Coturnix japonica: one gene and its partners. The protein of the gene in region 1 interacts with the protein of each later gene in a biochemical or structural test. Links are inferred from orthologs where the notes say so. Each region holds a gene or a part of one and is shown on either strand. Other genes may lie near its edges. The genes, in order: ATF4, CREBBP, CREBZF and EP300.

Region 1 (7,495 bases):
CCACAAGTGCCTCCCCCCCTTGATAGTCCCCGAGCGTCATATACAAGCCAGCTAGACTGTGCAGAGATGTTACTATGGAAACATTTACGTCTTCCCTTTGTGTATTTAATAACAGCATATGGCATGTTTATCTCCTGTATATTTGCTGATAGAAGAAAAAGTCTTTTCCTTAGCAGCATTAGCTTCTAAAATGAAAGACAGACAGAAAGAAGGACAGGCAAGCAGACAGTAAAAACAGCAAGCTCATACACTGACCTTCCATTTTAATGAAGAAGAAGGGTGAATGGAGGAGAATCAGTTTACCTCCTGGTGCTTTCTGCAGTGCTGCATATAACTGAGCATTTTGTCACTCCCCAACAAGGTCATTTTGGCCTCTATCATGCTGTGAGCTCTGCATGAGCATTTCCTCTTGCCTGCAGCTGGTCCCTCACTTCTGCATAGGGATGGATCCAACTTATCACAGGAGCCTATGGCAGGAAAATAACATCAGCAGAGCTAAAACTGTTAACGTGTCATCAGGAGTTTATTGACCATGAACGCACATTAATCTTCATTCAGAAGCCATCTTTTTGTGCTGCAAATTCAGTTTCCTTCAGAGCTATCAGGCTTCTCTCCACACATCTAAGCCACAAACATATTCTGCAGCACTGAAAAGGGAACATTTGAGTTAGCTAGTACCTATTAGCCCTTCGCTTAGAAAACATTTGCTATTTTATTTGCACAAAAAATTCCTAAGGAATGGTTACTTAAGCTTGAAGAATTATTATCCAGCTCAGTCACAAAACTCACTCCTCAAAGGAGAAAACTGTGATGTAATACCTGCAAAAGCAGAGACGTATTTTGTAATGGATTGAGACATGTCTCATTAAATTGTGTAACAATAATTCTGCAGTCTCTTTCAGGAAACAGGGAGAAATAACACTGTTACTAAATGTCTGGCTTTTTGTTACCTCATTTCACTTCCTGAATTGAAGATGATGAAAAAAAACCAAAACAAAACCCAAAACTGTTTGGTGCTCAAAATGTAGACAAATGTGCACATTTGCAAAATAAAAAGGGAAGCAGGCAGCTAGGAAACAGGCAGATCTGGGTTAAGTTCCTCATGACATGCATCATTTTTGCTTGCATAATTCTTACTCACACATACCCAGAGTCCTTTCTTCAAAAATATGTAATTACCATTTCAAGAGAAGCATTTCTGTTTATTTTGCTACAGTTACAGTGGTACAAACACCTTTTTTCTTTGCAGTTGGATGTGGGGGATGTGAGAGCCCTCCCTCGACCAGCCAAGACACAGAGATGCTGCCTCTCATCCACCCAAGCCAATCACCCACCAGGCTTCTTCAGTAGCTGCTGCATCCATCCTCTGAATTTTGCTTTGAAGCAAGATCTGCCTGCTCATTGGTGCACGTATCAGAGGAGTCATCTGAGATCACTCAGTTGCTATCGTGTTTTCTGATATTGGAGGGCATTTTTCTCTGCTGCCTCTTCCATCTTAGTGAGCCATTAAAAATCGATGCTTGATTCTAGAAAAGCAAAAATAAAACAAACACATTCACACACCCACAGAGAAACAAAAAAGCCACAAAACACCACAGCACATTGGAAAAGCTGTATTTTTACTTTCAGCAGCCAATGTTCAGTTTACAGAGCTGGAATGACATACATACCCCAATTTGTTGCAGTGATGGTGACATCCTGCTGCTAAAAGTAGAAACCTGGCCATGACTGTCCTCCCTGGCCATGCCCATCCTCTGGGATTATCAGTGGAGCTGTTTAATGAGTTCCAGGCAGGTATACTTGTGCAAACTGAGCCAAGGCCATGGCTGTACACAAATACTAACAAGCCCTAAATGGAAAACAAGGGAGCCTTTTGCAGTGGAGCCAAGAGGAGTTTATTGACAGGGTGATAATGTTTTGAGCAAGCAAGGATCCATGGAGGGGGGTTGGAGCTTGATGATCCTTCCAACCTAAGTCATTCTATAATTAATCTTCAGAGCTGATGGTGTGTTGTAGGGCTGGTAATGTGGGAAAGCAACCAAAGGCCAGGTAGTGAAAGAAAACATGGGTAGCAACCTTCCCAGCTCACCTTCCTCACTCAGAGCTGCATATGGTGCTTTAGTGTCCTCAGAGAATCACGAGGGGACTGAAAACATCTGTTCCCCATGGGTTTCATACAGGGCTAGGTGAGGACCAGAGGAGCTGCTATAAACATACAGGGCCAGACGTGATGGAGCAGGGCTGCCTTCTCATTTGGCTGATTTAGTTCAGATAAAACATAATGCAAACCTGCTTGAAAACCTTCCCAAGGTGAGGCTGTTTACTAGGGCCGTGAGGCTGTGTAGATGACCCACTAATGCTCTCCTCCATTGAGTAATGGCTGCTCTTGCATCTCCTCACAAACCACCCCAGGCCAATGTTACAGCTCAGCTACAAAGCTAGCAGGGTGTCAGGGACACAAACACACAGCCCTATCTCTGTGGGGCAAGTAGCAGGCAGGGAGTTTTCCACTTATCTGAGGGAGCAGTGACTCTCCTCAGCAAAGTTCTGCCCTCAACTCTGCTGGACGTCGTCTGGAGGGGCTGTTAAGAACGCACAGGGAGAGCGGACAGGACTTCGTGTGGAGGGCATAAAGAGCTGTCAGTAACAAAGGAGGCGTGGTGCTTCAAAGAGAACACGCCACGGAAATGTGAAGCAGAGAATAGAACCAGCGCCACCGCCATTTTACGGCTCCTCGTTCTCCGTGCCTCTCACCATCTCTCCCTTTTCGGGCGTCAGCCAATGGCGGCTCAGCGCTCACACGGTTACCACGCCACCAGCCAATCGGCGCGCAGAGCTCACTGGCTGTGTTGGCGGGCAGGAGCAGCAGCCCCCCCACATCCCCCTGCGCTCCGCGGCGGGCGGGAGGAGTGTCCTCAGCTGCTGTATCACGTGGCCTCCCATCTCGGCTGGGCGGTGTTTGCGCGGAGGAACACCATATAGTCCCTCTGTCTAGGAGCCCACGATGGAGGGAAAAGTTATTGCTGACAGCTTTTTTGGTTAATCTTTAGCAGGATGGAACGAGAGCGGCCCAGAAAGTTGAAGGTCTACAGGCTGAAGGGTGCTGACGAGAGGCGGGTGACGAAGAGCGGAAGGACACATCAGGCCGGATCTCGTTTTGATTAGCGTGAAGGTATATAAAAGCGGAGCGCGCGCGCTGCCACCTCATTGTGTGCCCTTGGCTGAGCTGACAGGTTGTAACTGTGACCGTGCGTAGCACCTCTCCGCGCGGCGCTGACCGGAGCACCAACCAACCCCCCCCCCAGCCGCCATGGCTCTCTAAGGGCGGCAGGGCCAGCGGCGGCATCGGCCAGTGCAGCGGGCGCAGCAGCAGCGGCGGCGGCCTCGGCACATCCCCGGCATCTGCAACCATGGCGTGAGTAGCGCGTGTGGGGAGTGCGCCTTGTGTGACAGCCACCCCCTGCTTCATAAAGCGGGGTTCTGGGGTGCGAAACGGACGCCCCATAGGAAAAGCTGTCTGGTTAATAGGGTGGGGGCTGGAAACCTACTTGAGGGTGACGGAAATGGCAGGAAATGACACTTTTAAGAGGAAAAATGAGCCATAATACCCTGTATTTTAGAGAAGCCCACATCCTGAAAGCTCAGGGCTGTTCTATTTTGTAAGGCTTTTGTGAGAATATTAGCTCCCTAGACGGTTGTCTTAGTAGTATAGGGGATTGTCTTTATAGAGGCGTTCCCACAGCGGATGGAGGAGTTAAACGGGGCTTCCAACGAGCGGGCATTAAGATAATCCCTTAATGCTACGGCGCTGCTGGCCGGGGGAGGAGGAGGGTTGTGGGGGGAGGGGGGGGGAATGGTGTCGAACCCAGCCTGATAGAAGGGTGTAAGGCTGTCGTGGTATTTATCATCCGAATCCACCTGGTCCATAAGTCAGCCTAGCACCAAAAGGTGCTCTGTCGTTCTATCGTCCTGTCACCTTCCCCTCCCCCCCACCCCTCCACGTTGATGGCGTTCCCATCGACACGGGGTGAAAACGTGTCACGGCACAAAATGGCGGCGGGGCCGGGTGGGGAGCGGTAGGCGGCAGATCGCGAAATGGCTGCGGCGTGGGCGTGACGTGAGTCAGGGCGCGGTGGGCGGGGCCTCGGCGGGGCGTGGGGCTGGCAATGCCGTGCTGGGCAATGGAGATGCGAATAGAAAAGCTTTTATGAAAGCAAACAAATAAAAAGCAAGAGTTTGAGGCAAACAGCCCTGAAAATGCTGCAGTCGTACAAGTCTGGTGCAACAGCACTCTCCCTGAGGCTGCGTTTTGTTGTGAAGGCTGTTTTTCCAGTAGAACAAGCACTGATGCATGCGAAAAATGTTTGTCTTACAGGTTTTTCAAGGCACCGCACAGCAGCACTGCTGTAGTCAACAAAAAGGCCCTCTCCTTGTCTACATCCTTTGACGTCAAAGCGCTAAAACCTGACCAAGATGAGCCTCTTGAACAACGAGATGCTGTTGGGGGAGTCCTCCCCCCTCAGCCAGCCGTGTTTGGTGGCTGAGGAAGGTCTGGGACTCCTCGATGACTACCTGGAGGTGGCCGAGCCCCTCGGTTCGCATGGGTTCTCCAGCGACAAGGCTAAGGCAGTCTCCTCCAATTGGCTCACTGTGGACAGTTTAGGCAACACCATAGATAGCAGCCAGGGTAAGGCACTAATTCATGTGCAGGAAGTAACACCAAAGGTGATGGCACATAATAAATAATGTAATCCTCCTGTTCAAAGATAAATTGCACGAGTTCTCTAAATGGAAAGGTAACATCACGTATGTGTCTTCTGGCCTGGGAAGCATCCATACAACACTGATTATACACAATAGCAAATGGCTCTGTAGTCGACCAGCCTGTGGAAAAATGACACTTGCATTGCCCTTTTAATAACATGCCAACTATTAAGAGTAGCCTTCCCTGGAAGAGGTCACAAGAAACAAGTGTGGTGGTGTGTTTCAAATAGGCCTGAATTCTTAGAGAGCTAAGACTAAGAGGGATGGAATGTCAGCAGCTGACAGATACATAGTATCATGCAGACTTCCCCAGTTCATAGTAGGGGGAAGGGGTCTGGTAGTCGATCTTTTTACCATTAAAAAGAATGGGGGAAGATATAACTATTTCTGGTATAACTGGTATAGAATCTCTGTGTTGGCTCATCGAAAAATATACTGTTTTTCTCCTTGTTTAGAGGATGCCTTCTCTGGCATGGAGTGGATGGTGGAGAAGATGGATCTGAAGGAATTTGATTTTGATGCCCTGTTAGGTATGGAACATCTGGAAGCCACCGTCTCACCAGACGACCTGATGGCCACGTTGGAAGACACGTGTGATCTCCTGTTTAACCCTACCACCCAGGAATTTCACAACAAAGAACCTCCACTCATACCTGATCTAATCACCAATCTCCCCGAATCTCCAATTGGAGTAGATCCCATGGCCCCATTAGGCTCCCTGTGGCCTTTTCCCCTCTCCCCAGGGTCTCTGACTTCTGTTCCAGACCATTCATTTAGTTTAGAACTAGGTAGTGAAGTGGATGTTCTGGAAGGTGAAAGGAAACAGGAGGCCCCCACCTTTCTGGTAGTGATCACGAAGTCAGAGAAAGAGGAGGAGAACCATTCTGATGATAGTGGAATATGCATGAGCCCAGACTCTTATTTGGGAACGCCCCAGCACAGTCCTACCAATTCACTTGGATCCCCTAATGACAACCAGTTCCCTGCAGATGCCACCCGTGGCTCTCTGCGTTCTAAACCATATGACCACCCTGCTGAGAAGGTAGTGTCAGCAAAGGTGAAAGGAGAAAAGAAAATAGATAAGAAATTGAAAAAGATGGAGCAAAATAAGACTGCTGCCACACGTTACCGGCAAAAGAAGAGGGCAGAACAGGAGGCTCTGTCAGGGGAGTGCAGAGATTTGGAACAGAAAAATCAGGCCCTGAAAGAGAAAGCAGATTCCCTGAGTAAGGAAATCCAGTACTTGAAAGATCTGATTGAAGAGGTGAGGAAGGCCAAAGTCAAAAGAGCTAGAGTCCCTGAGTAGGGTAGTCAGTAGTGTTTGTGTGCATGTATATATGCTTGCTGCTTAAGCTGTGTGGTGTCTAATAAATTATTTTATAGTAAACTTGCAATTTTGTGTGGTAACTGAGTATCTGTAAAATAAGGGTTTATACCATGTCGTTTGGGGCTTCAACCAGCTGGAATGTGCTGCTCCACCCAAGTGTGCAAATAGCATTTACTGTTAATGTGGTTCAAGTGATACAGTACATGTTACAGCTCATGTGTAGCTGAGAATACTTGCAGATATCTAGTAAAATGGAGGGGATCAAGTGGAGATAGTCCCAGATCTTGAATAGCAAAAGCAAAATCATAAAGGTTCAGCCTTACAAGGAGCCATGTAAGTATGTTTATAAATATGGTTTGGAGAAGTCTCTTGTGGGAGTTACTGGGTTTTGACAAGCTGATGGCTTCAAGCAGTTCCCCAGGGTGTTAATTCCTTCTCTCTTGCACTGACTTGTCCAATCATACTGCACAAGCATCCACATGGAGCTGGTGTGTCTGCAGCCTTTCAGGGGCAGCCAACAAGCTGATCTTATGCTGGTGCCCCTTGCAATGATGCTGTTTCCATACTTAGTAACTTAGTTAAGACTTTGCACTGGCTGGAGATTAGGGCTGGCTCTTCCTCTGCATGTTCACTTAGCATTTATAAGAGCATTGGATTAAGAGATGGGAGAAAGCATCTGAGCATTAGAGAGCCTCCTGGCTGATCTCACATTGGCAGGCTGCAGGAGCCTCTTCCTTTTCTCACAGGCTCAGAACAAATGTGGTCCAACAATCCCTATGGTTTACGTGCATGGTGACACCATTCCCAGAAATAGATTTTGGTGCACAAAATAGAGCCCCCAGAGGAAGCCAGTTTTCCTGTATATTTGGAAACAGTGGAATTTTCCCAGTCTGCGCCCTATAAAAACTCAGTATTAATAGCTACCTTCCTCTTTCTCATGCATTTAGAGAGACCCAGGTGCTCTTACTTCTCTTTGCAAACGAGAAGAGGAAAACGCTGCTGCTGAGGACTCCACCGCTTACCCCTGTGAATAACCAAAGGGGCAAAAATAACCTCCATTTGCAGTGCTGGAGTATGAAATGATGGCAAATGCTTCCAAAGAGCCCTGGCGGAAAGTCCAGAACAGCAGCAAGGACAGGATGTCCTTCAGGAGAGGTGTCTTCCTCAGCACTGTGCTGGTGGCAGGGAAATGTTGGCCATGTATTGTGGTGACAGAACCACCATGTTAATTTATATAGGGCAGAGGATCTCCAAAGCACAGGATGCCTGTTGTGAACTTGACTCCTCTGCATCACCACTGCAGTGCCTGGACAACTGGAAAAGAACATCCTCTTTCCCCTCCATTAATTACAAGTTAGTGGAGGAGATAAATAAGCTTTCTTGCATGCAAATGGTGCTGCTCAA
Region 2 (7,483 bases), on another chromosome or scaffold:
GGAAAAAAAAGGTCATCAATCACTCGAATGTTCCGCAATTAACACAAAGTAATACGTGAGAGCACATTAAATGTCCCTGGTACCAGAATTAACATACAGAAGAAAATACAAAGAAGCACATTGAGGTCAGTGGGTGCTTTATCTCTTCCCGGACAACAGAGGAGAAAAAGAACACACAGAAAAGAAAAATGAAACCACAAAAGCTGCGTGGCAGGAGAAACACATCGTGGGCCGTTCTGGAAGCATCGGATGGGAAACGATGGATCCACTGTGCTTCCCTCCAGTCCTGCACAGCCTCTCTGTAACTGTTCCTCCTCTTAATTGCTTCCCAAGGCGTCTCCACTGTTTTGACAGTGCCGCTATGGCAGCTCTCACCAGCAGCTTCAAATCCTCCCCAGTAGCACCAACAGCAGCACGTGAGCCATGGCAGCACACGCAGCTCTCAGGCTGCGCAGCACAGCCCGGCTCATCGAGCTGCCTTGCTGCAGGAGCTGAGCTGCAGGCAGGAGCTGCAGGAGCTGGCTTTGCTTTCAGAAAATCACCCTGGTGAAGATTCAATATTTTAGGGTTCTCAAAGCATATTAATGGAATTGAGGTCTCGCTTTTTCATCCTACCACAAACGCGTGCATCTTTCCCGGCATCCTATTTAACAGCTGAGAAGATGTTGAAGTTTGAGGTGACCATTTAAAGCAAAATCACGTGAGAAGGCAGTCATAAGCAGCAGGCACTTGCTTAAAGCAGCACAAAACACCGTCAGCATTGGGGATGCCCTCAGCCATCCCACACCATGACGGATCCACTGCTGTGCCCCCCTCACTGCACAGCACGACAGCTCCCCATGATGCACGTTATCTCGACAGTGGCTGTGCCATTCCCTGCCTACCGGCTGCTTATCAAAGACACGGGTCGACATGAGGTGCTGCACATTTTAAATGGCTCCATCCTCCTCAGTGTGAGTGATGGCACCGGCAGGGAGAGCTCCGGCCTTCTATCAGCGCATGGAAGCGCTCACCTGTGTGCAGGGCTGTCACACAGCAGGTCTATCTACCAGGAACAGAACAGCGAGGATTAACGTGCACTTACAAGTGGAGTTAAGAAACAAAAAGAATTAAAAGCTGGGCAAAAATATAGTAAAAAAGCAACTTTTGCATCTCCTTCATGATCTGCAGCAGTGATGTTTCCTTTCATGCCCTTTTTCCCTGCCTACTTCTGGGACCAAACGATGAGGGAGAGCAGCCTGACAGCAATTGCAATGAGGCACAAAGCACACATCACAAAACACACCAAATGCACAGAAGGAACCAACAGCACGCAGCCACGTGAAACTTTTCTTTCTAGAATACATCTGACTCTTAAAGCTTCCAACTACAAGCGACTGAACACAACCGGCATCTGCTCCAATCTGCCTCACTGCAAAGCACTGATTGCAGCGAGCAGAGGCTGTTCTGAATCCCTCTCATTAACACCTTCCTTAAGGAGTCCGTGAAACTTAGGAAACAGCATTGCAGCCACCACAGCACAGATGGACATGTGAGATTTCCAGCTTTCTTTGCCCCATTAGATAAAACTACGACACAAAAGTCAGGTCACCTGCACGGCAACACCCACTGCAGCACCCATCACATAGGGACAGGGCAATAGGGACAGCACACAGGCAGGGCTGCAGCCTGCAATGGTGTGACATTGGAGTTCCTATGGACAGCACAACATTCCCAGCGAGCTCCCACAGCTGCAGGGATACCCTCAGAGAAGCAATTACGTACGTGGATATGAACACAGATGCAAATCAATGGCAACAGACCTACCCAAATAATGGTTAAGACTTCACTTCTCAGTGAAGATTTTGAAGAGCGTGTGTGTCCGGGTTAAAGATTGAGATTCCGAGCTCTCAGTGGCTGATTTAGCACTGATAATAAAGTTGCAGATCCCTTCTGATTCACACCCCGACTCTACGCAATAGTATTTGTTGAGACATCCCTATTGAAGCCAGCGTTCCAAATACAAGCATTAGGTTCTCTCTGCATCTCAGACATCTGAGAAGACAGATGGAAAACAGAACATATGTTAAAAAGGGGGGATTTACAAAGCAAAAATTCTTGAGAGTGTAAACCAAATTAGGATGGAAGTGTCGGATTTCTAAGTCGTCCCACATGTTTTCTCATTGCAGAAGGACCAACTGCGGGATCTTTCCAATCCCGCGTTCTCAGACAGCGCTGCAATAACACAGCACAGCTGCTGCACGTGTTGTTCTGTGAGCAGGTAACGGCAGAGAGCAGAACCTCCACTGCAAGCAGACCCCAACAAGAGGGGAATTGCTGCATGTGAAGTTACAGGCACAAGATCTGAACGCGGTGCATTGCTGTGGATATAACCAGCAGGGCTGGACTGGAGTCGTGACTTCCAGGAACACCTGGATGGAACAGAAAGTGAATAACCTGCACCAGAGAGCTGGGAGTTATCTCACAGATCTTCACGGTCCAGCGGGGCTGACCCCGAATGCTGCTTTATTTCCTTATTTCTGGCGTTGGCCCAGCAGCTCCAGCAGCTCTACAGCCACCGGCCGAGGCAGCACGTTCAGTTGTGGTGTTAATTTCAAGGTGTTTAAAGAAAAAGAGAAAAGAACCAACATCATAAAACCCCAGGTGCATACACAGCTATCACTCTAAGTATGAAATGGAAGAGAAAAAGCATGGGGGGGATGACCATAACGCTACAGACTGCTACATCAAACCAGCCCGGTGTGTTATGTGCTCTGCTCCTGCACCTCGTGCACATGTTGGTGTCAAACTCCTCGGACACACGTAGATGGCAGCGGTACAGCAAGGTGCTGTGAGCGGGGTCGGTGCCTCGGGGGAGCAGAGGAACCAATGTCCAACATGACGCTGTGCTGGCACAGATGACAACAGCCAGAGCGGAGTTAAACCGCTCGGGTGCAAAACACCCACCCCGTGTCGGAGTTGGGATCCACCATTACACACAGCGGGCAAGTCCCGAGTACCGACACAGCCATAAAGCACCGGGCTGTACGAGTCCCATCGACAGCGCCAGCACCACGAGACAAAGGGAAACCCCATGAAATAATCACGGCTACGAGCGGGCGACGAGAAAACACTTCTTTCCAACCCGAGTGTGCTCGCTGCCCGGGGTTCCTCTGTTCCTCTGTTCCTCTCCTCCTTATCCCCGCTAGTGACGGACAAGCACCGCGTTACCGAAGCGCTTCTCGCTGTTCCACGGCGCTGACGCCAAACTTTCGCACGCAACGCGACCCGGAGGCCTGCACTAAACTTTCCGGCTACGCAGCACCGCGCGGCTGGGAGGTGTAATGTGTAATGCAGGCCGGGCCCGGAGACGCCTCGGTGTCGTACAGCCGGCACGGATCGTCCTCCCAAGCTCCGGCCCGGCCTCACGATCGCGGTTCAGGCCTCAACCCGGCCCCGCCGCTCGGTGCCCAGCGCTCCCCGGTCCCGCCCGCACCCGGCCCCGCCCGCACCCCCCCCCTTCGCCGCCGTCCTCGCCCCGCGGCCTCACCTGTGCTATCGCTGGCGGAGAAGCCCGGCGAGTTGAGCTTGGCTCGCTTGGGGTTGGGCGGCCCGTCCAGTAAGTTCTCCGCCATGCTTTAACCGCTCGCGGCCCGTCCGAGGCGCTCGGGCGCTCCCGGAGCTCGGCGAGAAGGGAAGGAGGAGGAAACCGAACAACAGCGCCGCTCAGTGCCCGGCCGGCGGCGGCCCCCTCCGCTCCCCCATGGCCGGGGCCGCCGCCGCAGCAGGCCGCAGGGAGGAGGGCTCGGGGCGGGCTGGGGGGAAGAGCCCAAGCGCCCCCTCCCTGCCGGCTCCTCCCGGCCGCTCCCCCGCCCTGCCGCCGCGGTGCCCGGATGGCGGGTCCGGCGCTCACTCGGGGAGCATAGCCGGCCCCCCCGGCTCCGCCGCTCCGAGCTCCGTCCCCTCCCCTCCGCGCCGGGGGGTTGGAGGGGGGGGGGTGCGGGGGAACGCTCGGCCTCGGCCCCCGCCCGCCGCCCCTCACCCCAGCGGGGCGAACCGAGGCCGAGGAGGGCGGGGGTGGAGGGGGGTGAGAGAGAGAGGGGTGGGGGAAGGAGGGCAGGGGGGAAAAAAAAATTAAAAAAAAAAATTAAAAAAAAAATCAGGAAAAAAAAACAAAAAAAAACCAAAAAAACCCAAAAACCACAAAAAACGCCCCAAAACAATGAGCCCGCCGCCGCCGCTCCCGGTCCCGCTGGCGGCGCCCGTTCGGCCCCGGCCGGCGCTGCCCCGCCGCCCCGAGCCCCGCTGCCCGTTGGCGGCGCTCCGCGCGGCTGCCCCGTGTCCCCGCGGGCGGACCCCGCTGCCCCGGCCCGGCCCGGCCCGGCCCCGCTCCGCTCGCGCCGCGCTCCGGCTCCGCGACAAGATGGCGGCTGTTGATTCCTCAATTAAAAAAAAAAGTTTTTTTTTCTCTTCTCTTTTCCAGAGCCCGTGGGGGCGGGAACGGGGCGGGCACTGCGCGCTGCGTCACCGCGTACCGGGACCGCCCCCCGCCCCCGCCGGAAAGGAGCGAGCGGAGCCGGAAAGAGCCGAGATCGTCCTCACTTGATCCGCCGCGTCCGCGGGGCCCACGGCCTCGGTTCCTATGGGCTCCTATGGGCTCCTATGGGCTCCTATGGGTTCCTATGGGCTCCTATGGGCTCCTCCCGGCTCCTATGGGTTCCTATGGGCTCCTATGGGCTCCTATGGGCTCCTATGGGCTCCTATGGGCTCCTATGGGCTCCTATGGGTTCCTATGGGCTCCTATGGGTTCCTATGGGTTCCTATGGGGTCCTATGGGTTCCTATGGGTTCCTATGGGCTCCCCTCTGTTCCTATGGGCTCCTATGGGCTCCCCTCTGTTCCTATGGGCTCCTATGGGCTCCCCTCTGTTCCTATGGGCTCCTCTCGGCGTCCCTCGCTGTGACCCGGTGTCGTTCGGCTCCGCCGCTGCCGCCCCTGGCTGTGTCCGTCAGTCCCGTTCCCGCAGTCCCTCCGTTCTCCCCCCTCAGTCCCTCATACCGTCAGCTCAGCCCCACGTGCTGCACATCTCGTTGTCCCCCTGCAGTGCCCGGCTCCCCTTGGCTTATCTTCAACCCATCCTCCCCCTGTGCCTCCCACTGATCTGTGACCCCCTGGGGCAGCCCCTGGTTCTCTGTCAGAGCACCCACTCCAGGTGGTGACCCCAGGCCTGCACTCAGCACCCTGCACTGAGACCCTGCACAAGGCCATGGCCATACACAGGGGTTCCTTCCTGCAGATCCAAGGTGCTCAGCCCTCTGCCATCACAGCCATACACAAGGGCTGCTCTCAGGCACCGCAGCCACGGCGCCAGGAGGCTCCTGGCTTCAGAAACACCTGCATTCTGTCTAGACAGACATCCCTGGACAAAACAGGTTTGTAGGACCAGAGCTCATGTGCTTCAGCGCATTTCCATACTGGTTCCCAACCTGAGAAGCAGGTCCTATAAGCCCCGGTGACGTGCCATGCCAAGGCAGCACAGCGCCTCGTACCCAAACTAGATGCTCGGGGCTGTTTTCAGCATCAATATATCGACGTGTCCCCAAAGACCACACAGCAGTGGAGGACAGAATGAAGGAGGGCACGGATACAGCGCTGAGGATGCTGATGAAATCCATGAGCTGGGCCAGATCAATCAACACCTCTGCATTGGTTTAAAGGAGATCTATAATGATACCTTTTTGTTTACGGCTCAGCTCCTATTCATCACATTTACTTCTGTATTTCCATGCGTTTCATTACATTTACTTGCAAATTCCGTATTTATTTACATGGTGCCTGTCCATGCATAAAGTCAGGATGGGGACTTAGTGGGGACAGATGTGTGTGGACACCCAGCTTACCTGCAGGAAGGTGTTTGTGCTGCCTGGCTATGGGCTACATGCTGGTGTTGTACCAGTACTATAGATCTGGATGTCCAGCTGCTGCAAAGGGGCACCACCATCACTACCACCACCACAACTATAAGCACAGCTTGTGTATCAATGTGCCTGCCAGGCTGAGAGTCCTGGGGAGCGTAAGGAGGTGCTTTGGAGGGAGGGAATCCCATATCCCAGGGCAGCAGAGGAGGGAGACGATCCTATTGCTGCTGTGTTCAGGTCTGCTTAGGGTGGCCCCAACTGCCTCCTGCCATGGGATCACAATAGCATGGCGTACATGAAAGGCCTTGACCCTTAACCACAGCTACCCCTAGAAATAGGGCTATGATTACTTGCCCAGCAGGCTGCCCAAATAGTATAGGAGGACTCAGGGGAAGAAAGGTTCTTCGGAGCACACGGATGAGCCCTGACACTGCAAACTCACACCCAGTCCTACCAGTTGTGGCTCCCTGCTCCCTGCTCCTACAGCTGAGAATGAAGCACGGATTCCTGAGGACTTCACAGGTGGTGTTTGGGAGCAGGTGCTTCATGGATATCCCCTTTATTCAGGGACTAGTTCCAAGAGAAACTGCATAATAAACTCTGCGCTGCTGCAGCCCATTTCCAGACTTCCCGTCTCCAAAACTAAGCTGCTTGAAGACACAGTGCCTGCGATCCCATCTTCCTGCCCATAGCCAAAATAGGGAAGTATCACTGCTACAGCAGGTGACCCGAGATCCTTAGAGCCAAACAATTAACAGTGTCTGAGTAACTGCTGAGGAGCTCAGCTCTGTAACTTGTAATTGCTGTGGTATCAGGACAGTTCTCAGAATGAAACAGCCCGTTATTCCTGGCAGTGTTACATCTCAGCATTCTGTTGCCTTACCTGCTGTGTTTGCTGCCCAATGGATCTGTCCCAACACACAGAAAGCCCAGCATCCCCCATCTCCCCTCCTCCCAGCTGCTGAAGGAGGTGCTGCCCGTCTTCCCCAAGCACATCTACCTGCATAGACACCACCAACTGTGGAGCAGCTCCATGCGATGGAACTTCTTTCTGGCTCTGATGTTTGCACTGCAAACCCTCCGTCAGGCTCTGCCCAAGGAATTCACATCCCAAAATCTGCTTCCTTCATCTTCTGTAGAAGAAAATATCTGCAGGTTGCAAGCCCTGCTTCCAAGGTGCCATCCAGTAATATCATGCTGTTAAGTATCAGCCAGACGCTACCCTTGGCTGTAGGCATATAAATACATTTCAAAGCAATACAATCAATTCAAAGTGTTTAATAGAGTCATGTGGGGATGGGATGTAAACCCGGGCATTGCTGTGAGCTGCTCAGAGTTCTGCCCATCACCTGCCAAGAGCCCTGGTGTGATTCCAGCGCAGAGGAACCATCCGTTTAACAAGTGCAGACCTCACAGGAGTGCAAACAACAGCTCAGGATGTCGCTCAGTCTTCTGTCACCAACACAAACAAGTCCCTCCCTAGGAGTGGTCCTTTCTTCTCACATCACAAACGTGAAGCCCTTCTGCTGCCGCTGGCCTGTAATTTGGCCGTGCCTAACAAACTGTTATGAAAAATGCATATAAATC
Region 3 (7,424 bases), about 120 Mb from region 1:
CACATCCCCATGTATCAAGTCCTGCTCCTGGCACCTTCCTGTGAGCAGAGGCAGCGTTGTTTCTCCAGCTCTTTATATCCCACATCAGTTGGATGAACAAACACGGACTCCACTATTGCCAAGGTGCAGTTTTTACACAGGGTGTTCTTTAAACACAAGCCAGCACGTTTCTTTAATGCGCCCTTTACAAATAACACATCTAAGAGTAACAGAAATCAAAGGCCACAGCAGCACGTGGCTCACTCAGGAGCTTCACAAATGCTGTCCCTTCAGAATGCTCTAACACTTCATGCACTCACCCTAGTGTTGAACGCAGAGATGATGGAACATTATGGCTTAACAGCACATTACTGGCTATTTATCAAACCTCAGAACCTAGTAAGGATAGCAAGGAGGGAGATGGCAGCCCATGGAATGTAAAACCCCGCTCCTCCATGGCTTAGTGATCAAACATATTCACACTAACAAAGGGAAACAGCTGTGAAATACTAAACACAGTTATTGCTGGAGAACAGTTCTATCTTTGGTTCAAGCAATAGTGCCTTTGTTTCTTCTTTACCCCAAACTAACTTGAAAGACAAGTGAGCAAGAGCCTTCCTTCGGGATGCGCTGATCCATTTCATCTTGTGTTCCATCAGATTACCCACGCAGCACAATCTTCCCTCTTCTGATTCCCATTTTGTGTAATGAAGCACTCAATTAAAGCAAGGTACCAGTGAGAAGATAAAGATGAAGAAAACATTTGAGCCCGTCAACTGAAAGATCAACAAGTCTGATTTTATTACAGTATCGTATTCTCATCTGGATGGCACATCATTACAAAGAAACATTTACAATATATTTTCAAGTATTGAGTTAAAATCATTTCAAGGCTTCCACTTCAAAAAGCTACATTAATAATACACCATACAGATGGTACAGTTGGTTAGTTTCAAATGACCTCCTCCCCTCTATTTGGTTTAAGTATGATTCAGTAGGCACTAGATATGCCTGCAGCCACTTACTTTCTTAGACTTGACCTTGTTCTTGCACAGGTCTACATCACTGTGCACACCAGAACATCAGCCACTCTCAGACACAGCTCACAGGAGGTTTCACGGCTGGAGCGATGTGCAGCTGCATAACAGAGATCCCTGACTCCTATCGGTTTGAAGTGATGCAAAATGAAATAATGCATATTTAACTTAAAATTCTGCACTGAAGTGACTGCAGAATTGCCAATGTAACATCCCATACTTGCTGCATTAGTGTCTCCCTTCTCCTCACGCACGCTAAAATTCAAACTGAAGCATGGTTGCAAAGCCTGAGCCGGGCAGATTCAACCTGAGCTCAATCTAAATCAGTCAGCACACATCTGGAGAAGGTCCTGCCATAACCCACCACCTACTGCATGTCACACAGTTAAAGACTGAACCTTGGAACAATCCTGCCGATGCCACCGCAGTACTGCACACGTCTGAGGTCTCTCTTGTGCTGGCAGTGTACCCTGAACAGATGGAATTGTGAAAACACAGGAAGAAAACCTGCTTGATAGGATACTGCCTTCTAAAAAAGCATATCGGGTAACAGTTAATGAATCCCAGCATTCAACCTTTGTGTTTGTTTAAACAAAGACAGCAAAAGCCCTGTTTACCTCTTTATTCTCATTTCTTATATACTACCTTTTAAAACAAAGCAGGAAATGTGGCCAGCAGCTGGTCCCGTCTCTTCTGCCCCAACACAGCTGAATCCACTTTAGCATAAAGAAAAACAAGGATGCTAAATACACGTAGACTTTATCACACAGTGACGTTTCACAAAGAAAAATCATGTTCTTCACGCCAAGGAAGTACTTGATAAGGTATAGTGCCAACAGTTCCAATTGCAGGGAGAAAACCCTCCCCCTTAGCCTTAAATACCAAATTTAAGGCTTTAAGAAACAAGACTTCCAAAACACTCCATAGAATTCTTTTTCTTCAGGAAGTTCAGAAATGAGACCAACTGAAGGAAATCTCTTCTTTGTGAAACCTCACTTTACATTTATTAACACCTTTATCGCGATCCTTCTTCCCCCAGCTGACGTACAGAAAAACCACCTCAACATTATGACACAACTGAAAGAACAACCTGCTCATCCTGGGTGATGGGGAGAAATATTCCTACCATAGAACACACGCTGCTGTTCATCAGCATTTTTCCTCCTATCTCAGTTAATCAGGAAGAATCTTTGCAATTAATTATTTGCTCATCTCCAAAACTGTGCTGAAATTGTATGATGTTACAGATTTCTGGATACTGAAGGAGCGAGTTAAATCAACATCTCTACAGTAAAATGAAGCACATGCACACACGTGAAGTTCCTTTAAAAGATAAAGCTACTCTGAAGTAACAAGGGAGTTTGAATGCAGGGGGGGCACTGAGATCACTTGGGAGAGGCACTGAGTTACTTTGTGACCCACAGCTCTCACTGGAGTTCTATGGAACAAAGTGATTTCTCTACATTAAGGTTCCACTGTACAGATGTCAGCAGTGTTCGGGTTCTGTTCAAACAGGAAAAGCTCTGCATCATGAATTAAAGGAAGGCAGGAAAGGGCATCCTAAAGGGACTGTGCATCACTAACACTAGACAGTACTTTAAACCACCAGGTCACGTTTTTCATTTAAAAGCAATTTACTTGTTCTTTTGGGGCAAAAGACTGTAAACGTCGTATCATTAGTAATATTTTCCCTTTTCCAGCTCATCAGCTTGTAGCTCAATAGAAAATTCCTATTTCAAATGGCAGAAAGCATTTACTTTTAATTCAAAACGCAGCTCACTGACCGGCTACTGTGTGCATGTTGATTTAGAACAGAAAGCAGCTACTCAGAATGATGTTTTCCACAACTGAGTTAGGAATTAGAAACATCACAGCAGGGCAGGGACCAGAGATACCATCTCCTGGGCCAGTCACCGCATGAATGAGACCGGCACAAGCAAAACAAGCTGTCTGATACCGCATTATGGGAATATATTGATCCTTACCAGGTTGCGAGGTGGGAAACGACTGCTCTTTAACCCCTACACAACGGAGCCTGGCAGGACAAGCACCTAAAAGAGAAACTGTCAGAGAGGTTTTAATAGTAACGTATAACCAAGAGGCAGCACAATTTTATACGCATGCTTTCTTTCTTTTTTGCCGTCCGGTGATGATGTCTTAATGAAGGTTTTTGGTTTTCTAAGCAAGCATTTTTTTTTTCAGCTGGGATAAGCGAACTGATACAAACCCGGCCAGGTCAGCGTTATTTCTACTGGAAGAACGGACACACCGTCCGGCCTCAGGTCGGCACCGTCTGTTCCGTGCCTAAAGAACCGAACCGAACCGGCAGCTCCGCATCAACACCACGCTCTGCTCGGCTTACGGGCCTTCCCTCGGTCACCCGGCGTTCGGATTTCTATCACCCGAAGGCGACAGTTTCCCCTCCTCCTCATCTCCCCCATCACCACCCCAGCACCGCTGTTACTTTTGCCTTCTTTCCTCCGCACCCCCAGCGGGTCGAGCAGCCCGCAGGTACACGCGGCAAGTAGCGGACCCTACGTTTTAAAGGAGGCTGCCGCTCTCCGAGCGCAGATGGAGCAGAACTCCACCGACACCTGATCCCGCTCCACGTGCAGGCAGATCCCGCCGGGTGCCGCCCATTCCTCCTCCTCGGGCTCCGCTCCCGGCGGCTGCTCGGAGCCGGGCGGCCGCGCGTTGGGCAGCGCGTAGTCGTGGTCTCCGCTGTCTCCGCCGGCCCGGAGGGGCTGTTGTTGTTGTTGTTGTTGCTGCTGGAGGCGGCCGTCCCTGAAGAGGCTGGTGCCCAGGCGCAGCCCGCCGGCCCGTGTCCCGGCCAAGCGGCTCAGGAGCTGCCCCAACGCGCTTTGGTTGGCCAGCACGGCCCGCAGGTAGCCGCTCTCCCGCTCCAGCTCCCGCAGGCGGCGGCTGAGGCCTCGGTTGCGGTCCCGCAGCTGCCGGTTCTCGGCAGCCAGGCCCTGCAGGCGGCTCTCCAGCCCCAGCACGTACTGCTTCTTCTTCAGCCGGTTCAGTCTCGCCGCCGCCGCCGCCTTCAACCTGCTGCCGGCCCCGCCGCTCCGCCGCCCCCCGCGGCCGCGCCCCGCTTCTCCGCACAAACAACCGCTCAGCTCCGCGTCCCATTCCGGCCGGGCCGCCTCCAGCAGGTCTCCCAGCTCCAGCCCGGGGAACCAGTCTTCTTGTTCCCAAACCTCCGGCGGACCTTCGGCCGCCTCTTTCTCCTGTTGCTGTTGTTTGGGCCGTCCAGCGCTCGGATCACCTTCCCCGCCGCCATCCCGCCCTCTCGGGGTCTGCCCCGCTCCGGTGAGAGGCCACGCGGCTCCCGAAGGGCTCGAACCGCCCGAGGCCGCCAGCAGCTGGGTGAGGCTGTGCCGCATGGCGGCAGTGGACGGGGGAGGGAGAGCGGAGTGGAGCGGCGGTGCCGCGGTGTGTGCCGGGAAACGGCGGACGTGTGAGGGGAAAGCAAATGGGATCCTTGGGCTCCAACAGGAGAGGGGTGGTCAGCAGGGATAGGGAGGTGATCGTCCCTCTCTGCTCTTGTGAGGCCCCATCTCTCATACTGTGTCCAGGTGTGGAGCCCTCAGTACAAAAAAGACATGGAGATTTTGGAAAGGGTCCAGAGGAGGGACAGGAAGATGATCAGGGGGCTGGAGCACCTCCCCTATGAGGACAGGCTGAGGGAGTTGGGTTTGTTCAGCCTGGAGAAGAGAAGGTTGCGGGGTGACCTCATTGCAGCCTTTCAATACCTGAAGGGAACTTACAACCAGGAGGGGAGTAAACTCTTCAAAAGGGCTGACAATAGCAGGACACGGGGAAATGGTTTTAAGTTAAAAGAGGGAAGATTTAGGTTGGATGTTAGGGGGAAGTTCTTCACTAGGAGAGTGGTTAGGCCCTGGAACAGGCTGCCCAGGGAGGTTGTGGATGCCCCGTCCTTGGAGGTGTTCAAGACCAGGTTGGACGGGGCCCTGGGCAACCTGATTTAGTAAAGGCATATGTTTGGTGGCCCTGCCAGGCAGGGGGTTGGAACTACATGATCCTTGAGGTCCCTTCCAACCCGGGTCATTCTGTGATTCTGTGTGATCCAGGGGGGGAGGGGGAGAAGAACGGCTCAGGGCGGGAAAAGAGGCTGTGTGAGGGATAAAGGGTCGGTGTGAGGGAGTTTAATGGCTGCGGTGGGACGGGCCTTAAAGCACATCCACTCCTAACCCCTGCCGTGGGATGGGTGCCCCACACCAGCTCAGGCTGCCTGGAGCCCATCCAACATGGCCTTGAGCATCTCCAGAAGGTGGGGCTCTCTGAGGCCTCACCACCCTGTGAGGAAAGAATTCCTTCCTAACCTTAATCTTAACCTCTAATTTAGTTTCAAACCAAGAAATAAAAGGCTCCAGACCAGTTCCTGCAGTAGGATTTAAGCATGTAAGTACGTTACAAAGTACATCTGCTAGAAGACGGCTGCATGAACAGAAATCAGTGCTATGGTACAGTAGAGGCAACCGCTATGAACCGTGCAGAAAGCTGATGTTATGCCTTAAAGTGACGGAGTTTGATATTCAATGCTTTTTCTTTGGCCAGTAAATCCATGCTGTGCTTTTTGTAAGCGTCGAACTGCAGTGAGAGCTCGCTGTACGCCTGCTGGCTGCTCTTCAGCTCTTGCTGGAGCCCTTGGATCTTCAGATCATAGTTTGCTGCCACTTCTTTGACGATGTGCTTCTCTGCTCTCCATTTGGCTCTTTCTGCCATCTCCAGCTTCCTCCCCAGCTGCAGAATTTCCTGCTGCTTTTCTTGCAGAGCTTTGCCCCTTTCTGTGGCCAGGTTCAGTAGCTGCTGTTTCTCCTCGTTTGCCCTCTCCAGCTTGGCCTGCAGCTCAGCTCCGTGAGCCTTCTGCTGGCTTTCCCCATGCTCCAGCTGTTCCACCATTTGTTGGTGCTCCTCCTGTAGGCGCTGCAGCTGTTGTCTTAGCGAGTCAACCTCCAAGGTACAAGTGTGTGCTTGCTGGCTCTGAGCTTCCAGGAGCTCCTTTTCTAGCTGCTGGGCTCTGGATCTCTCACAAGCACATTTCTCATGTAGAACATCCAGCTGCTGCAAGAGCTCTCTGGCCTGGGCAGCAAGATGGAGCATTTCATCCTCCTTGTCCTCTGCTGCATGGCTGGAGAGGGTTTCGTTCTCCTGCTGCAGACACTGGTTTTCCTCCTTCAGCTCCGTGTTCTGTTTCTCGTGCTCATCCTTGGAGGAGATCATTTTCTCCTGGTTGTTGGCCAAATCCTCCAAGTACTGAATCCGCTCGGTCTGGTTTTTTAGTTTCACAGCATCTTCTAGCCTCAGTTTCTCCAGTTCCACGTTGAGCTGCTCCAGGCTCTTGCAGCGTTTGCGTGCATCATCTGTTTTTTTCTTCAGGATACAGATAAGGCGATGCTGCTCTTCCAGGCGTGCCCGTAGCAGAGCCTTCTCTCTCTTCTCCTCAGGGCTCCCGCAGGGTGTCTGTATGCCTTTTGTCAGATCTTCTATATATTTGCCTATCTCCTCATCGCTTGTGTGGCTGGCCACCACCGTCTCTCCATCCTCTTCGGCAGTGGACACACTGTCACACACAAAGACAAAACAACATTTCATAGAGACCACTTCTCTTCGTGACCTTCAGCAGGTTTGAAGTGTTTCCAGCTCAGCACTAAGCTGATGGACAGGGAATCCCAAGAGCAGCCCTGCAGCCTTTCCTAGCTCTGCAGACCCCAGTTCAAAGACAAGCAGAGTGAATAGAAGGATACCAGACCCCATAAAGAACCGTAAGCTTGGTATTTACACAAGCCTATTCATTTGCCAATTACAAGCTTTGGTAATTATTCCTTCTCAAAGCACTACTTGTTAGAGCTACAAGAAATACTGTTACATTGAGGTAACCAGTAGATGATAAAGCTGCAAATAATTCCTCATCAATCCTTTTCCTCTGCCTTTGTTTTTTTTTTCTCTCCTGCAGATCTGGAATTATAAATGTAAGTAGAGCATATAAAGTCAGTTCAATCCTCAAATTGATTATTTTATAGTTTTAATGGTATATTACTCATTAATAATATTAATACCCCTACACTGTGCTTAGAGATGTATGAATAAATGGTAATAATTACTGAATGAACAATAATAAAGATGGTTGCCTGGAGGGAAGGTTCCTTATTTGAGTGTTGGTGCTGATTTGCTGAGTCTTGTTTCTCATCTAAAGGTATTTATATTACAGCAGCACCACCACCATTATTAGTGCCTAATCACATGGAGTGCTACCCACATGTACCAAAAGTTTATCTGAAACCAAAGGACAACTTTGAGATGCAGACCTGCAATGACACAGCGTGTGAAATAGCCTGCTGATAATCAGGCTCTGTGACCTCCTGTGCTTCGAGGCTGGTG
Region 4 (6,705 bases), about 750 kb from region 1:
AAGAGGTATAGATCTTGCTGCTCAGGCAGTTCTGACTGTCTCTCCTGCAGTTCAGCTGCCAGGAGTCATGGTCCCAGCTGCCCTCACAACAAACTGTCACAACCCACTAAAACAGCCTGTCACATACACAGCCACTACTCCAGTGAGTAAAACTGTCAATAACATTCAAATGAGCATCTTGAGCACCTTCTTACATTAGCATTTACCAAAAAACTTCACAGTTCCAACCATGTTATCACAGTCCTTATTGTGGTCACTGGTTTCTACCATAATTTTACCACAAAACAGAGACCCTTCTTTAGGAAGAGGTAAGGGAGGTGACAAAACCACAGCAGTAGGTAGCATACAAACTGAAGTCTAAAAGGACAAGCTTGCATGGAGACCAAGGAGCTAACAACAGCAGTTATTCTCTCCAACAACAAACCGACAGCTCACCTCAGATTTCTCCTCCATCTGCAGCTCTGTTTGTTCTGGTTCCCCTTCATCTGTTTTTATCTCCATTTTCACTTCCTGCAAAGGTGGCTGCTGCTGCTCTGCTGCAGTCTGCTGTGAGCTCACTTCTGTGCTGCTGGTGGATGGGGGGTTGGACACCTGCCCATCAATGCTTACAGCTGGTTGTGACAGCTAAGGAGTAAAAAGACAAAACAAAAAAAACCAAAACACATTACAGACAGACTTCTAATTAACCTATTATTTTTCTATGCTCTGATCTACCTTTTACCTATAACCTTATTTCCATCAAGTTCAAATTCACTTTGGTACTTCCACTTGCTTAACCTGAAGTACATACTGCTAACACAAGTCTAGTTATAGAAGAAAGCACAGCAGACATTCACTGGAAGGTCTAGTATATAATTTCATATTGTTTCCCTATTCTATGCCATCACTATGCATATGCAGACATAACTAATGACCTCCCATGCATATTTCACTGTGCATTTCTCAACATGCATGAAAAGAATTACTTCCTCTGTGGAAATACCAGATCCTAAACCTTACATTTGCCCATTTGTTCAATTAAAATATTTACTTACAGGTGTTGTGGGGTGCTGAGGTTGCAGTGGTGCTGTTGGTGTGGGAACTGACGCTGTTGTACTCTGCTGTGACAACGGTTGCTGCTGCTGCTCTGCAGAGGGGGCAACTGGAACTGGAGGCTGGACTTGTGGAGGCAGCTGTGCCTGCGGAGGTGTTGGAGTCTGCCTCTGAGGGGGATGCATAGTTTGTGACTGTGGTCCAGGTGGTATTGCCTGAGGAGTAGGGGTGGGGACAGTGGTGGCAGCTGCTGCCGCCTGCTGTTGCTGTGATCCCAAGCCTGGGGGTGTATGGTGAGGTGTTGGGGTTCGACTTGGTACTGGAGAAGGAGAATTTCGGTGCATGGGAGGCTGTGGAAGAGGTGGGCAGTGAATATGGCTCCCTTGAGAGCCTGGAGCCATGGCAGGAGAATTCACAGGACAGGAAGAGCTGTTCATTTGTGCCTGTGGGAAAACAAGTACACATCTGCAATGACTTCAAATAGAAAGATGTTAAAACGGCTGCTTTCCCACAGTTACTGGCATACTCTTTCAAAAAGTGACAAACTTAAAAATATATATATATTTCAAAAGGAGAAACAGGCTTTTCATTTTGTATCACTTGAACATATAGCTGTTTGTAGTATACTCAGCTCTAAAACAGAAGTTTCAGAGTAAATAATACTCATCGATACATTCAAAGAATGACACACTTACACCTGCAGTTTGCAAAACATTTCTTTCAAAAAATGCAGATATGTACACCCTGAATATGCGGCGATACATGACAGTGGAAAGAATGGATTCAAATACAGTGTGCCCATGCCCCCACCCACAAGACTAGAAACTGAATTTATCATCAGAAATACATATAGCTGCAACTGCGCTATGAGATTACAAAAAGATGTACTGGTCAAGAAAAAAAAGCTGTCACTTCACAATAATCTTGCCTGCAAACTAGGAAGAAGCATCAACGAGAAGCAAACTGACGTTCCCTACTTCTTCCTGGCCTGAAAGGTTCTCACTGAAAAGGGAGAGGGAAAGGACAGAAAAGAAACTGCTAGACTGGAAGTTCCAATCTTTAGTAGTGACAACCATCCTATTCCCCAAAGGGCAGCAAAATACATTTGATGGTTGTGGTTGGACATGCCTTTTTAAGCCTTGTTCTTCCAGCATCTTTTAATTTCTCAGTCTCTACTGCTTTGCTGTTCTTTACTATATGAGCAAGATATACGAGCAACAAGCTCTTTCCTTCACAGATACAAACTTAAATAATTCTCTGTCACTTAAACTTAAGCCTGAGAACAAGCCAACATTTTACCCATACCACTACCAGCACAATAGCCAGGAAAATGCTGAGCCTCAATAAATGAATTCAGATGGTTACAGCTCCAATAGCATCTTGATAAAACAAATTATTCTCCATTATTACAAACTTGAACATAAAAAAACATCATATGACAGAGCCCACTAACACAACCTCCAAAAATCGGAAACTTACTTGAGAAACTGGTGTCTGATTGCTAGTTTGTGTCATAGGCATGCTCGCTGCATTCATTCCTGGGGAAGAAGCAGGGAATGGGTTCTGCTGCAGAAACTGATTTTGACCAGAAGGTTGGCCAACTCCTGGTTGTTGCATACGTGAAGGAAATCCCATCTGTTGGAAAAGAAAGGAACTTATTTCATATACTTTTGTCGTATGTTATAAAAACAGTTATCTCACCTCAGAAATTGTGTGATTGATTGATACTTATGCATAGGATACAGTATGGAAGGTCTACTATAACTCTCAAAAGTTAGAAATTATGACATCTGCAAACCAAAGGGATACTGATTTCAGACTGTGACTTCAATTTGTTCCTTGCTTCAGGAGAGCAATAGCCCAAAACTCCACTTTAACCTAGTTTTCAGTGAAGGAAATTACATGTATTTTTAATTAAATCACCAAGGCTGACCACATACCAGACACATCTTCTGTGGCACTGCAGAAATAAGAAGCCAAAGTGCCTACAGAACACAGGAATAATGTTTAAATTGTATTTGTTTTTGTTTGCTTATTTTAAGGAAGGCACAACAGCAGAAACCCATGAGCTGAATACCCAAGATGAAGGGAAGCACACTGACCTGGTTCATGGCCCCGGCCTGGCTTAGCTGTCCAGGGTGCTGAAGAGGAGGAGTTTGCCGGGGTCCCATTGGTGACAGCTGCATGTTCATATGGCCAAACTGATTCATTCCTGCACATTTGTGACAAAAACAAACAAACAAACAACAAAAAAAAAACCACTTATGATCAGAGGCCTGAATTCTCCTTTGGGCGCCATTCAACATTTGAAGAATGCTGTCAGTTTCTTTTTTTTCTTTTTTTTTTTTTTTTTAAAGAAAAAATTTCCAGTCATGCCATGGAAAGCACGTAATGGAAATACCTTCTTCTCCTATTGGTCAGTTAACAGAACAATTTTAAGTACTAAGCACTGAAGCTATTTCAGAATACGTATTGGCTTTTTTTCCCCTGAAGGACTTAATCCCACATACAATTTGTGATAGCTTGCATTATCTTAATGACTAGAAGTTAATTTATTGCAAATCCTGACTGTGAATCTTCATTTAAGTGCTCCTTATATTGGCTGCAATACTTCTTGAAAATACAACCAAGGTTCTACCCCAGAGCAGCAATTTTCATCATCCTCCCTCTGCTTTGGACATGCCCTCACCCTAAGCTGATCGGGTCTACCATCTCATGTTCACACAGAAACTTAAAAATAATTTAAAAAAAATTAAGTTCCTCATTTAACTAAGCAAGCAGTAATAAGCAGCTCACATCTCCAAGAAAATGAAACAACACTGTGCACAGAAACGCACACAAATATTTATATACACACACGCATATATGTATATAAAGCACAGATCTATTTTCTTGGTCTCACAGAATAAAGAATTATAGGGGTTGGAAGGGACCTCAAGTGATCATCAAGACCAACCCCCCTGCAAAGAAGGCTCCCTACAGCAGGCTGTACAGGACAAGTGGGAATACAGCAGGTGAAACGAAGGCTACAACACTTCAGCAAGAGCTACCTAACTCCACAATTCTTTCACAATCACAGTAGCAAATTTTCATATAAAATTTACCTGGCTGTGCCTGCATGCGATTCATCATCTGATTTGGCACATTAGCACGTATCAGTGTGGGGTCAGCTATAGGACCATCTGTAAAAAAAGATTCTGGAATAAGATTATGGCATTTAGAAACCACCAGTTTTTTAATCATTCTAGTGAAAATCTTCCTGTAAAAAAGAGTTAAAAAAAACAAGCATGGACACTGTCCAGTAATTTTAAACTAAGCATACTTAAGAGTCCCTCAAGTATGAGGTAAAACCCAATTGATATCCAGTTAACTAAAGATATTCTGACTTGCAGACAGATTTTAAAATGTGGACAAATATGAAATATGTTATTGAGGTACAATGAAAAACTCAGCAGCTTGTGAACATTCCAGACCACAGGAATTTATGCAAACTACTCTACGCTATTACTGCACCTCCTGATTGAAAACACTATAAAAATGGGCTGGTTTGATGTACTTTATCAAATCTCCAAAGTTTGGTTCTTCTAGCATATGGGATAAACAACCAAAATATCACATCTACTCCTGATCTAGAGGAAGTTACAACAAATAAATTCATAGTACCAATCTTAAAGGCCTTTCCTGCTTTTTGGTAATGCATATTGGTAAACCCAGTTCTAAGTTCAAGTATGAAAAGATCCAGACTGGAATTACCAATATACATTCATATTCAAAAAGGAGAAAAACCCCTCAGATTAAGCTTCTTATAGCATATCACTGGAACTACTGGATCATCGTGCAGCATAAGAAAAATAACCCCTGATTCTTACCTGTTCAACTGACTAATTCTGACTTTGACTCCATGTTCTTAGGACAATTTATTATATTGTCACTGACTGCTATACATCTACTCTGATTAGACATCTTCAGAGCTCAGTTTTTAACTGTGAAGTATCTAAAAACCATGCAGGAACGAATGAATGGAAGAGAAATATCAAGTGCAAGAACTAGTGTTACTTGTTTTCACCTGTTACCTGGCAAAGCCTACTGTGTCCTATAACTTCCTAATGCTGTGAAAAGATAACAGTCCTCAGTAGCATTACAACTTTGATCATTAGCTCCTTTCCAAAGTCACTTCAACATGCAAATGCCTAGTTATAAGGAAATATAATAGTAATAACCTGTTTAGCATTATAAGTGTCCATTAACAGAACTACTGTGAAACACAAGACAACTACATAGGGAAAAATAATGAAACCTGGTTGTCACAGCACACTATAAGAATTATTTGTTCAAAAAAACAAACCAAACCATCAAACACGACAAACAAACATGGCACAGGGCAAGCACTACCTGAACTTTCAAAGGCATAAGTAATACATTTTGTAGAAAACAATTTGATTATCAGACTTCCTGCTTAGCAGCAACAATAATCATTTCAAACACCAGACAGTTAAATACTATTAAAACGTGTTTTAACTTCAGACACTACCAGTCAATTCTAGAAGTGAGATTAATGAGACTGAATTTCTACAATGTCCTCTATCTCCTCTCATCTAGCACACAGGGTTAGGATACTTCAGTATACTCACAAGACCAAATAATTTTAGATAATCTATGGTCATTAATTAACAAATAAGCAAAACAAAGATGTTGCAAGTACTCCTAAACAGAGATGAATAAGTTCAGTTTAACGATGGGTAAACAAGGTATCAATGAAACAATACTGCCAAAATGCTCACCAGCACACCAGAAAAACACTATATATTTGACCCGTACCAAGCAACAACTAACCCAACTGTTCTTACTTGCAGACATCCCTGGCTGAGGCTGACCCATGTTAGGTCCTTGATTCACAGGAGCTTGTGGCATGCCTGGAGCACTTGGTATCATGTTTTGCTTCTGCAACCTTGTTCTTCGCTTTTCTTCCAGCTCCTTCTGAATCTTATAGATCTTCTCAGCTAGCAAGTGATAATACTCTGCCTGTTGGGAGAGGAATACAATCCAGGAAAGGGAAGGAGACGTTAAAATAAGGCAACAGGTCACACTCAGCAAAGCTTGGAAAACATCCTTCAACATGCACATTCGAACTCAGGAGGGAGGAAGCTTCCCCTCTGCAGGGCTGGCAGGGAGGTTTGTGGGCAAACACAGGAACTGACAATCATCAGGGCACCACACAAAATTTTTCTTTTCATCCAGCACATTTCAGGCATAGAACAGCAAAACAGGCACCATCCCAAATCCCAGCACATCTGCAGCTGGCTGGTTCCTAGACTCAAGCCAGCAGCTCTGGGACCCTCTGTTTTCTACCCCTCTTCCTCTCCAACCACTACCAGATGGGATTAGAGATACACAACCAGGTGACAGAAGACAGCATCTTACCCTGCTGTTTGCTGATTCATACATATCGCCTTCCACTTTCCGAGCATATGCCACCAGATTCTCCATACGCCGATCCTTCAATGCTGCAGGGTCAGGTGTAGGAAATATGGCTTGGACTCTGAAGAAAAAGCATGCAAGCTATTAGGATGTTTCCAAACCTGGACCTCAGCACTAACCCCAACTGATAGGAACAGAAAGCAATAAGCAATTTTTTGAGGGACTGAGGCACTGCTGCTGTCCCTGAGTGATGCT

What was found.
Region 2: the proteins of ATF4 (region 1) and CREBBP form a complex in vitro, tested with the Homo sapiens proteins (2 studies listed by BioGRID). The link is inferred for Coturnix japonica from reciprocal best matches to the Homo sapiens genes ATF4 and CREBBP.
Region 3: the proteins of ATF4 (region 1) and CREBZF form a complex in vitro, tested with the Homo sapiens proteins (2 studies listed by IntAct, with this or other methods). The link is inferred for Coturnix japonica from reciprocal best matches to the Homo sapiens genes ATF4 and CREBZF.
Region 4: the proteins of ATF4 (region 1) and EP300 form a complex in vitro, tested with the Homo sapiens proteins (3 studies listed by BioGRID). The link is inferred for Coturnix japonica from reciprocal best matches to the Homo sapiens genes ATF4 and EP300.

What each region holds. Positions count from the first base shown.
Region 1 is NC_029516.1:46,169,836-46,177,330, reverse strand, and holds ATF4 (cyclic AMP-dependent transcription factor ATF-4), read left to right. Parts: upstream 1-3,211; 5' UTR 3,212-3,415; intron 3,416-4,375; 5' UTR 4,376-4,473; coding exon 4,474-4,687; intron 4,688-5,219; coding exon 5,220-6,070; 3' UTR 6,071-6,158; downstream 6,159-7,495. UniProt on the Homo sapiens protein: Transcription factor that binds the cAMP response element (CRE) (consensus: 5'-GTGACGT[AC][AG]-3') and displays two biological functions, as regulator of metabolic and redox processes under normal cellular conditions, and as master transcription factor during integrated stress response (ISR).
Region 2 is NC_029529.1:11,070,526-11,078,008, forward strand, and holds the start of CREBBP (CREB-binding protein), read right to left. Parts: upstream 4,012-7,483; 5' UTR 3,615-4,011; coding exon 3,530-3,614; intron 1-3,529. UniProt on the Homo sapiens protein: Acetylates histones, giving a specific tag for transcriptional activation. Mediates acetylation of histone H3 at 'Lys-18' and 'Lys-27' (H3K18ac and H3K27ac, respectively).
Region 3 is NC_029516.1:170,212,205-170,219,628, forward strand, and holds CREBZF (CREB/ATF bZIP transcription factor), read right to left. Parts: upstream 4,532-7,424; 5' UTR 4,406-4,531; coding exon 3,555-4,405; intron 3,080-3,554; coding exon 3,031-3,079; 3' UTR 757-3,030; downstream 1-756. Other genes in the region: CCDC89 (coiled-coil domain-containing protein 89), read right to left, coding at 5,550-6,606.
Region 4 is NC_029516.1:45,419,210-45,425,914, forward strand, and holds part of EP300 (histone acetyltransferase p300), read right to left. Parts: intron 6,572-6,705; coding exon 6,454-6,571; intron 6,055-6,453; coding exon 5,880-6,054; intron 4,215-5,879; coding exon 4,137-4,214; intron 3,245-4,136; coding exon 3,135-3,244; intron 2,668-3,134; coding exon 2,512-2,667; intron 1,476-2,511; coding exon 1,035-1,475; intron 625-1,034; coding exon 436-624; intron 1-435. UniProt on the Homo sapiens protein: Functions as a histone acetyltransferase and regulates transcription via chromatin remodeling. Acetylates all four core histones in nucleosomes. Histone acetylation gives an epigenetic tag for transcriptional activation.